Macaca fascicularis: one gene and its partner. The protein of the gene in region 2 interacts with the protein of the main gene of each other region in a pairwise test. Links are inferred from orthologs where the notes say so. Each region holds a gene or a part of one and is shown on either strand. Other genes may lie near its edges.

Evidence for each region. The genes of interacting proteins can lie anywhere in the genome.
Region 1: the proteins of PTK6 (region 2) and FCHO1 interact in binary tests that used the Homo sapiens proteins (3 or more experiments, as listed by UniProt). The two-hybrid records come from large-scale screens. The link is inferred for Macaca fascicularis from reciprocal best matches to the Homo sapiens genes PTK6 and FCHO1.

Annotation. Positions count from the first base shown.
Region 1 is NC_088393.1:18,087,799-18,091,906, reverse strand, and holds the start of FCHO1 (F-BAR domain only protein 1), read right to left. Parts: upstream 2,801-4,108; 5' UTR 2,730-2,800; intron 2,430-2,729; exon of another isoform or gene 2,289-2,429; intron 1-2,288. UniProt on the Homo sapiens protein: Functions in an early step of clathrin-mediated endocytosis. Has both a membrane binding/bending activity and the ability to recruit proteins essential to the formation of functional clathrin-coated pits.
Region 2 is NC_088384.1:119,666,204-119,670,442, forward strand, and holds the start of PTK6 (protein-tyrosine kinase 6), read right to left. Parts: upstream 2,801-4,239; 5' UTR 2,788-2,800; coding exon 2,558-2,787; intron 911-2,557; coding exon 789-910; intron 193-788; coding exon 29-192; coding exon of another isoform or gene 1-28. UniProt on the Homo sapiens protein: Non-receptor tyrosine-protein kinase implicated in the regulation of a variety of signaling pathways that control the differentiation and maintenance of normal epithelia, as well as tumor growth.

The sequences.
Region 1 (4,108 bases), on a different chromosome or scaffold from region 2:
TCGAGCCACTGCACTCTAGCCTGGGCGACAGAGAGAGACTCTGTCTTGAAAACAAAACAAAACTATATTTGCCAATTACATTGGCATAAACATGAATATATTAATATTACACACAAAAATGTTTCCTTCAACCCAAAAGTTCATTTTTTTTCCCTTCGGATTTTAAAAGAAGTGAAAACATCAACCTACGGACCCCTAAAAGCACTGTGAGCCTGAGACATCGGGCTTGTTGGGTCTGATGGAGAAGTCAGTCCTGCTAGAACCCAAGTCTCCCAGCCTGTACAGCGCCAGCACAAAGCCCAGAGACAGCCAGAGACTTGCCCAAGGTCACACAGCACACTGCCAGCTGACTCAGAGGTCCCCATCCTGCCTTCCCGGCACCAAGTCTTGCAAACCTGGGGCTGAGACATGTAAGCAGCCCCAGAACAGTTAAAACAAAGCAGGAACCACATCAGCAACAAAGGCAAGACCCGAGCTCCCATTCTGGGAATTGAGTGGTGCCTGGCTGGGTGTCCAGAGCCACTGACGTCTTGCCTGGTGACCTTGGGCCACTCCTGACCTTCCAGGATCTGGCTTCCAGGATCCTGGGAAGCAGGATCTGGCTTCCAGGATCCTGGGAAGCAGGATCTGCCATTTCCCTCTCTCTCTCGGACCCCAGTGAATGTACAGTAGGGCCAGTAGCAGCGGTTTCCTCATCCTTCCCACGGACCGGTCACTTGGTTCAGGCAGGTACCATGCTGTTTCCATGACCCACTATGTCATGTCTCCCCTCTTGGCTTAGCCACCTGGGCTGCGATCACTTATACAATCTGGCTTGATTCTCACCACCGCACCTCAAGGCAGGGTCTTATCTCGACCAGCACCACGATGGGGAAACTGAGGCACGTGCCCCAGGTCACACACTCAGGCCACCAAGTGGGGATCTGAGCCAGGGATTCTCAGGAATTTTCTGTTCTCCCCATGGGTCTCCTCCCTCTTCCTCACTTCATTTGGCAAACATCTATCGAATGCCTACTGTATGCCTAACTTTCCCAGGTGCTAGAGTCTCCTTCGGCAATGCCCTTGGTAGACTCCCCCTTCCCCTCCCTCCTCCTGGTCAGCTGTGACCCGATTTAAAGAGCACTAATGCTGTCATTAATATCATAATGATCATGTCTGTATTTACAGAGCTTCCTCCTCCCACAGACTCCTCTCATCCTCCCAGAGGAATTCAGCCCATTTCACAGAAGAACAAACCAAGGGAGCAAGTGAAAACACACACAGGTAGGGGCAAATTCAAACCTGGGGGTGTCAGACTCCCAGCCCTGTGCCCACCACTGGGAGGGGGCTCCAAGGGACAGGGCATGAGCTGGCCTGGCAACTCCCACCTCCTCCTGCCCAGGACCTCGCCCAAGAACAGGTTCGCCCCTGGTGTGGGTGATGGTATGTGGGTCAGGGTGTGCCCTAGGTGGCCCCACTGGTGAGACCAGGGTGGTGATGCCCCGTCCCAATGATTGCAGCTTGGTCCTATGTTTTACTCCCTGCCCCCATGCCCCCAGCCCCAATATCAGAGTGTCATCATCAACCTATTTTGCAGTGCAGTAAACTGAGGCTCAGAGGATAGCAAGGCACTGTGGGAGGGTCTCCAAACCCAATACTCTCTTGACCCCAAACCACCCACATGTTAAGCAAAAGAGTGAATCACCATCAGACAAAATGTGGGCTGGGTGAGTTCAGAATCTGTAAAATGCAGGGTCCGAAGCTCCCAACCTCAATTTTCAAAAGAGGAAACCGAGGTTTGGGAAGGCGCTGTCACCTGCCCAAGGTCACCAGTGAAGCAGGTCCATTCGACTCTGCCTCCTGGTCCCCACTGCGGCTGGGGCAGGTGACTCGGGGGATCCAAGGCAGATGGAGGGGCCCCCCACCACCCAAACCTCCTCCGCACCCCACTCACAGCCAGCCTCTGGCAAGATCCTAATTTACCTCGATTTATTTTAATCCCCAGGAACAGATGCTAGCTGTACACCCCGCCCCTCAGTAAGAGAGGGACCCCCCCAAGTCCAGGCTCCAGGCCCTTCAAGGCCTGGCCTGGATAAACCGTGCCAGGCAGGGGACCCCACACTGACCTCCTCCCCAAAATTCCAACCTTGGGGTCCGCACAGAAGATGCCAGTGAAACGCCTCCCACCCCATCCTTGAGGTGGGGGACTGGGATGGGGCAGATTAGAGGAGGGGCCAGGTGACCCTCCAGCTCCTCCAGCCATCAGGCCTGGAGAGGGGTTCACAGTGGAGGAAAAGGGAAGCGGGTACCTCATCCTCGGTCCCCGGTGGTCTGCAGGCCGGAGCTGGGAAGAGGGAATTTGCGGGTGGTCCCCATCTCGGCCACCGCCCAGGGTTCCAGGCTGGAAGGGGAGCGGCACCCCCATCTTTGCAGCCCCAGAACCCAGACCTAGGCTTAGAATAAAAGGATTTGGGGAGGGGTCTCGCGTCGTCACCGCCCCCGTGCACGCTCGGTTCTAGGCCAGGAGACGGTGGATTTGGGGAGCGGTCCCCGTTTCCGCCTGCGGACCCCCGATTACCACTTGGGGAAGAAGCCGGGGCGCCCACCGCTTAGCCCCCAACCCCTGCTCTCCATCCCTCGCGTCCCGCCGCGCCTTTGCCCTCCGCAGCAGCCGGGGCTGCAGGGCACGGTGCGCGTGGGAGGCTGCGCGGGCCAGGGTGTCCCAGGGGGTTCCGGGGGGCAACACTCACCTCCTGAGCTCCGGCCGAGCCCCGCGCTCGCCGCCACCTGCGGCTCGGTCGCTGACACCCGAGCCCGCCCCGCCCCTCCCTCCGCGGCTGCGGCGCGGCTGCCGACTGGCTCCGCCCCCTGGGCGTGGCCTACAAAGTCCCCACCCCCGCGACGGCGCCAGGAGGCAGGGCGGGCTCTGATCCCGCGCAGTCCCCCATTGGGCCATTTAGACGGCCGTCTCCGCCAGCCCAGCGCGCTGATTGGTCCAGCCTAAGACCAGGCTCTTTTTAGTAGTCCCCCCCTTTACGCCACCCGCAGCTATTTGCATAATTTAAAGAGACAGGCGCCACTCTTTCCCCCTGAGAGTCAGTGGTAAAGGGTAAGGAGCGACCAACGTTTATTCATCGCCCAGGCAGGGCTCATTTGATGACCCCCCACAAGCCTGTAACCGCAACGTTATTGGTCTTTATTTTACAAGTGGAAAATCTGAGGCTCAGAGAGGGCAAGGTCTTGTTTGGAGGCCACACAGCAAGTCTGCAGCCGGCCTAGGGCAGCCCCGGGATCCGGCCCCTTGCACAGGAGGTCATCCCCTCATAGGACATATGACAGTTCTGTTTTGGAGATCGAACTCGATTGCTTGAGGTTAGGAGTCCGAGACCAGCCTGGCCAACATGGTGAAACCCTGTCTCTACTAAAAATACAAAAATTAGCCGGGCGTGGTGGCAGCTGCCTGTAACCCCAGCTACTCCGGAGGCTGAGGCAGGAGAATCACTTGAACCCGAGAGGTAGAGGTTGCAGTGAGCCGAGATCGCACCACTGCACTTCAGCCTGGGTGACAAGAGTGAGACTTCGTCTTAAAAAAACAAACAAAACGAAGAAAAAGAAAAAATAAACTTACACAACACCCGCCAGTCCCCCGTTCTACCCTCTGCTTAGGGACAGGGCACCCGGCTGATTGCTCTTGCCTCTCTCCACCAGCCTCCCAGGCTCAGTCAGGGCAGCCCAGGAGCACAGACCAGAAGCTTGGGAGACCCTAAGGATCTTCTCTTCCCTTCATCACCAGCATTTCATCCTGTGGATTCAGTGTCTCTGAAACAGTTCCAAATTGTCCGTTTTCCTACACCCCACAGTGGTCCAATTATCTTCAGCCTGGATGCTGCCTCAGTTTCCTATTTGTGCTTCTTGTTCCCTCCATCCCAGCCCTACACAATCCCTGTTCTCCAAGGCAGCTACAGATGTTCTTTCTTTTCTTTCTTTCGTTGTTTAGAGACGAGGTCTTGCTCAGTTGCCCAGGCTGGAGTGCAGTGGCATGATCATAGCTCACTGCAGCCTCAAACTCTCAGGCTTAAGTAATCCTCCTGCCTCAGCTTCCAAAATGCTGAGACAACAGTCATGAAGC
Region 2 (4,239 bases):
TACGACCAAGTCAGGGCGGAGCGGCTACCTTCCGGCAGGGCGCGGCCAGCCGCAGGCCGTGGGACAGGCTCTGGGCCCTGTGGTAGTTCACAAGCTCGGACAGGCTGGGGAAGGACACCGCCTCGTTCAGGTGCAGCTGGCCCCCGGCTCGCCACCAGATCTTGTAGTGCCGCACAGCCTGCGCGTCCCGCACTGGGAGGGAAAGCGTGAGCGGTGTCACCACCCCGCTCCAACGCCTCCCTGCGCGTCCCCAGCCCTGCTGGCCACACCTGCTCAGAGCTTCTGGGTCCCCATAGTTGCTGTTGGTGCTTCCTCAGTACCCACCCCTGCGTCCCCTCCCTTGAAACAGCTCCCTCCTGCCCTGCCTGCTCTGGCCAAGCTCCCTGGCCCCTCCTGCCTCCGTGCCAGGCAGCCCATGGCCTCTGCCTGGATGGCAGCTGCCTGAAATCCCAGCCACACTGAGATCCTCAGGGGCAGGAATGGGGTTTCTTCGCGCCTCGTGCACCCCGGACTCAGGGTCTCATGCTGGACCAGGTTCCCACAGGTGCCAGGACCTCCCATGAGTGCCTCAGGCAGGGCTGGCCGGAGAAGCCCCTGCCCTCCCAGGGAGGGGCCCTGCCCCACGACTGCCCCAGGCCCCAGGGAGGATCGGGCCAGGTGGGCGGAGGGGATGGGGGCTCCCTGGAGAGGAGCCCATGTCCCCAGTCACAGCCCGAGGGAGCCAGTTCACCACGTGGATGGGAGGGCTTAGAGCAAGGAGCCCCCGCAGGCTCGGAGGCTGGCCGCACCCGACAGGACGTAGTTGGCGCCTGGCTTCTCGCTGACCCTGATCAGGAAGGTGCCGGCGGCGTTACCCTCCGCCTGCAGCCGACGCACAGCTTCTGAGCGGGAGATGCAGCCGAAGAACCACCTACAGGGGAGGAGTAGTCTGAGCCCGCGCAGACCTGGGCCCACCCCACGTGGACCCCCCGCGGGCCCCAGTCTGCCCACCTGGAACCACAGCCACCCTTGCCTGCCACCTCAAGCTCCCAGCCCTGACCACAGCTGCTATTGGGAGCTGTCGCTGACCCAGACGCCCTGAATGTCCCAAATGGCCAGGACAGGCCCCTGAGGACCCAGCGGGGGGAGGGGCAGGCTTGACCACACCCTGCCCTGAGAGGCCCGTGTCTAAGGGTCAGAGCCTAGGGTGGAGTTGGGGAGGGCACCTGAGCAGTAGGGCTGCCCAGAGCTGCCTGCACACACACCCACGTGTGACACGTACACACATGCACTCACACAGTTGCATACCCCCACACATGCGCATGGTTCACCCGCACACCTGAACACACACACACACATGCATGCGGGCTACCCCCACACAGGCACACAGTTCACCTGCACACCGAACACACACACACGCATGTGGGCTCACTTGCCCACAGTCACACACACACACAGTCACTCACACACACTAACTCCCGGCTGCAGGGTGTGGGCCAGCCCTGGACTGTGGACTTCCAGGTGGAGCTCACAGAAGCTCCAGGTGACCTGTGCCCAGCCCTTTGTGTCTCTGACTCCCTCGGGCCACTGGAACACGGACCCCACATGAAGACCACCGCCCAGCATGGAACCCCTGGGGTCTACCCCCTCCGCTTCTGCACAGCTGGGAGCACTGCCCCACTCACCCCTCCAATCACCTGGCCTCCTTCCCACTCCTCACCTGGGCGAGTTCTCCGGGCCTCAGGGTCTTTGCATCTGGGAGCTGACCAGCCTCTGGCCAGACCCTATCCCTGCACCCCTGCTCCCTAACGAGGTGGTGGGTCTGAATGTGACACAGGGGTCTCCACCATGGGCCCCTGCCCAATGGCCTCTTTACAGCCTCCCCTGCTTGTTGCTTGGGTCCCCCAGGAATTAACCCTACACAGCCCGTGATTCATGCACGCACACAGTAGGTACCCAATCAATGATGAGAAAAGCGGGATCTCAGGAGTGTGAGTCGTAGAAACCCCTCCCCCAGACCCTCCCCAGCCTGAGCTCCGAGCAGCCATGGAAGCCGAGGCCGGACCACACCAGCTGGTCTGGTTCCTCGCAGGGCACAACAGGCAGGAAGCTTGCCTGGCAGCCCGCCCTCTCCCCTACCTAGCTCGTGTGTCTGGTTCTGGCAGTTTGGAAACTGAGCAAGCTTCGTTCCCCCAAAGGCCCTGGAACGCCCCAACAGACCTTGTCACTGGCCACTGGACCCCTAGAAGTCCACCCTGGACCTCTGTCCTCCCTGGGTCCTGGCAGAGCAGTGTCCACCACCGAGCTGTGACAAGGATGAGCCCAAGGGAGGGGCCATGCCCTCTGAGCCCCCTGCTCCAACTCCTGTAGCGACAGTCCTGTGGGCACTCCCAGGTGCCAGCACATGGGACCTGGAGCGAGGACCAAGCGGGATGCCCAGCCTGGACTTCGGGGTACAGGAAGATGGAGCCGGGGTCCCACCTTCCTGGGCCTCCCTGGGGCCAGCCCAGAGCCCTGTCCCTCCCTTGTGCCTAGAGGGTGGCCTGCGCCAAAGCTCCCAGGAGTTCAGGACACGCACGGTTCCGACTCCACGGTCTCCCTCTCGGCCAGGTAGCTGTGGGGCACATAGCCCTGGGCCACGGCCCCACCCGCCTCGTCCAGCAGCGTGGCCCACCACCACTGCTCCTCCTTCCTGGCCACGTGGAAGACGTCCCCCGCTCGGAAGCTCAGCTCCTCGTCCGTCCGGGCCTTGAAGTCCCAGAGGCCCACATACTTGGGGCCCAGGTGAGCCTGGTCCCGGGACACCATGGCTGGCGCAGTGGCAGGACCAGGCTGTGGCCCAGCTGGAGCACCTAGGGCTGGGCGTGGCAGGCGGGCGGTCCCACTTCCTCGTGACAGGCAGGGAAGCAGCCACCCCAGCACCCACAGGCTCTCGAGAGCACCCCAGCTCCTCCTGAGGGCCCAGCCGGCCCCACGAGTCCTCACGCCCCCTGGGGCCCATCTGGGCACTTAGTGCCCCCACCACGGGAACCTGCTGGGCAAGCAGCCACAGGGAGGGAGGGAGGAGTACTCCCCAGCTGGGGCTTCTCGGGGGTCCAACCTGTGGACACTCAGGCACTCAGGGAACCCAAGAGCCCCCTTGGGAATGAGCCTTGCAGCCTGAGGGCAGGACGGTGAGGGCTGCAGGTGCTGCCTCCCAACCCTCAGAGCTATGGGGGCACAGGTGGGGGCTTCTCTCCCCACTTCTGGAAGCTTCTCCTCCACCCGTTGGTGCCTCCCCTCACCCAGCCCCAGACTCCACCCCTGAGCACGGGGCCCAATGCCAGGAGCTGCTGTGGGCGGGCATCCTGAGAGCCACCTCGTGGGCAGGCCCGCCCTCGGGTAAGGGCCAAGCGGGGAAGAGGGATTGGAGTCAGGACGGTGACAGCTGTGTGGGTCGGCCGGGAGGACTTCCCAGAAGAGGAGGGCCCGAGGGTTTTGGGGATCCCTGGGGGGGCAGGGCCAGGGGCACCCGCAGCTGAAGAAACGGGCATTGCCTTCCTCCACACGGACGCCAGGGGGCAGGGAAGGACCGTGAGTGTGGCCTGGAGGCGCCCACAGCGCTGGGGCCCGGGGCGCAGCTCCCTCCCAGGCAGCTCCTCCAGCCTCCAGCCTCTGCCGCCTCCTGCCCAGCCCCATGACCCTTGCTCCCTTCCAGCTCACCTCCCCTCTCCCCACCCATGCCTGAGTGAGCCCTGGCGTGACCCCCACCTGCACCCAAAGGCCGCCTGTCCCCCAGCCCCTGAGACTCAAGACACCCCTCCCCAGGAGCCCCTGCCCGCCCCACCCTCCCGCTGACCCTCCTGTGTCCACCAGGGGCTCCAACGCAGGGGCCTGGATCGGCAGCCTCAGGGGGCAGGAAGGGGTGAGGAGGGAAATTCAAAGTCTGCAAGGAATGGCAGGGAAAGTCCTAAACTCTGCGTATTTGAACTTTTATTTTTATTGCAAAGAGAAATAATGGAACCTTCCGCTCATTGTTTGGAGATTAAGAACAATAATTATTTAACAGGTTCATAGATTTCTGAGCAGCCCAGCTCAGGGCTGACCAAGGTAGGGAGGGGCAGCGGGGTGCTGGGCTGGGCAGTGTCCCTCAGGCCCTGCCAGCTCTGCCGGGGGTCGGTCGGGAGAGATGCAGGGGGAGGGGTGGAGGTGGGGCATGCCAGAGGAGGGCGCTGGGGCATCTGCCCAGGCAGCGTCCCTCAGAGCCCACCAGCTCTGCCA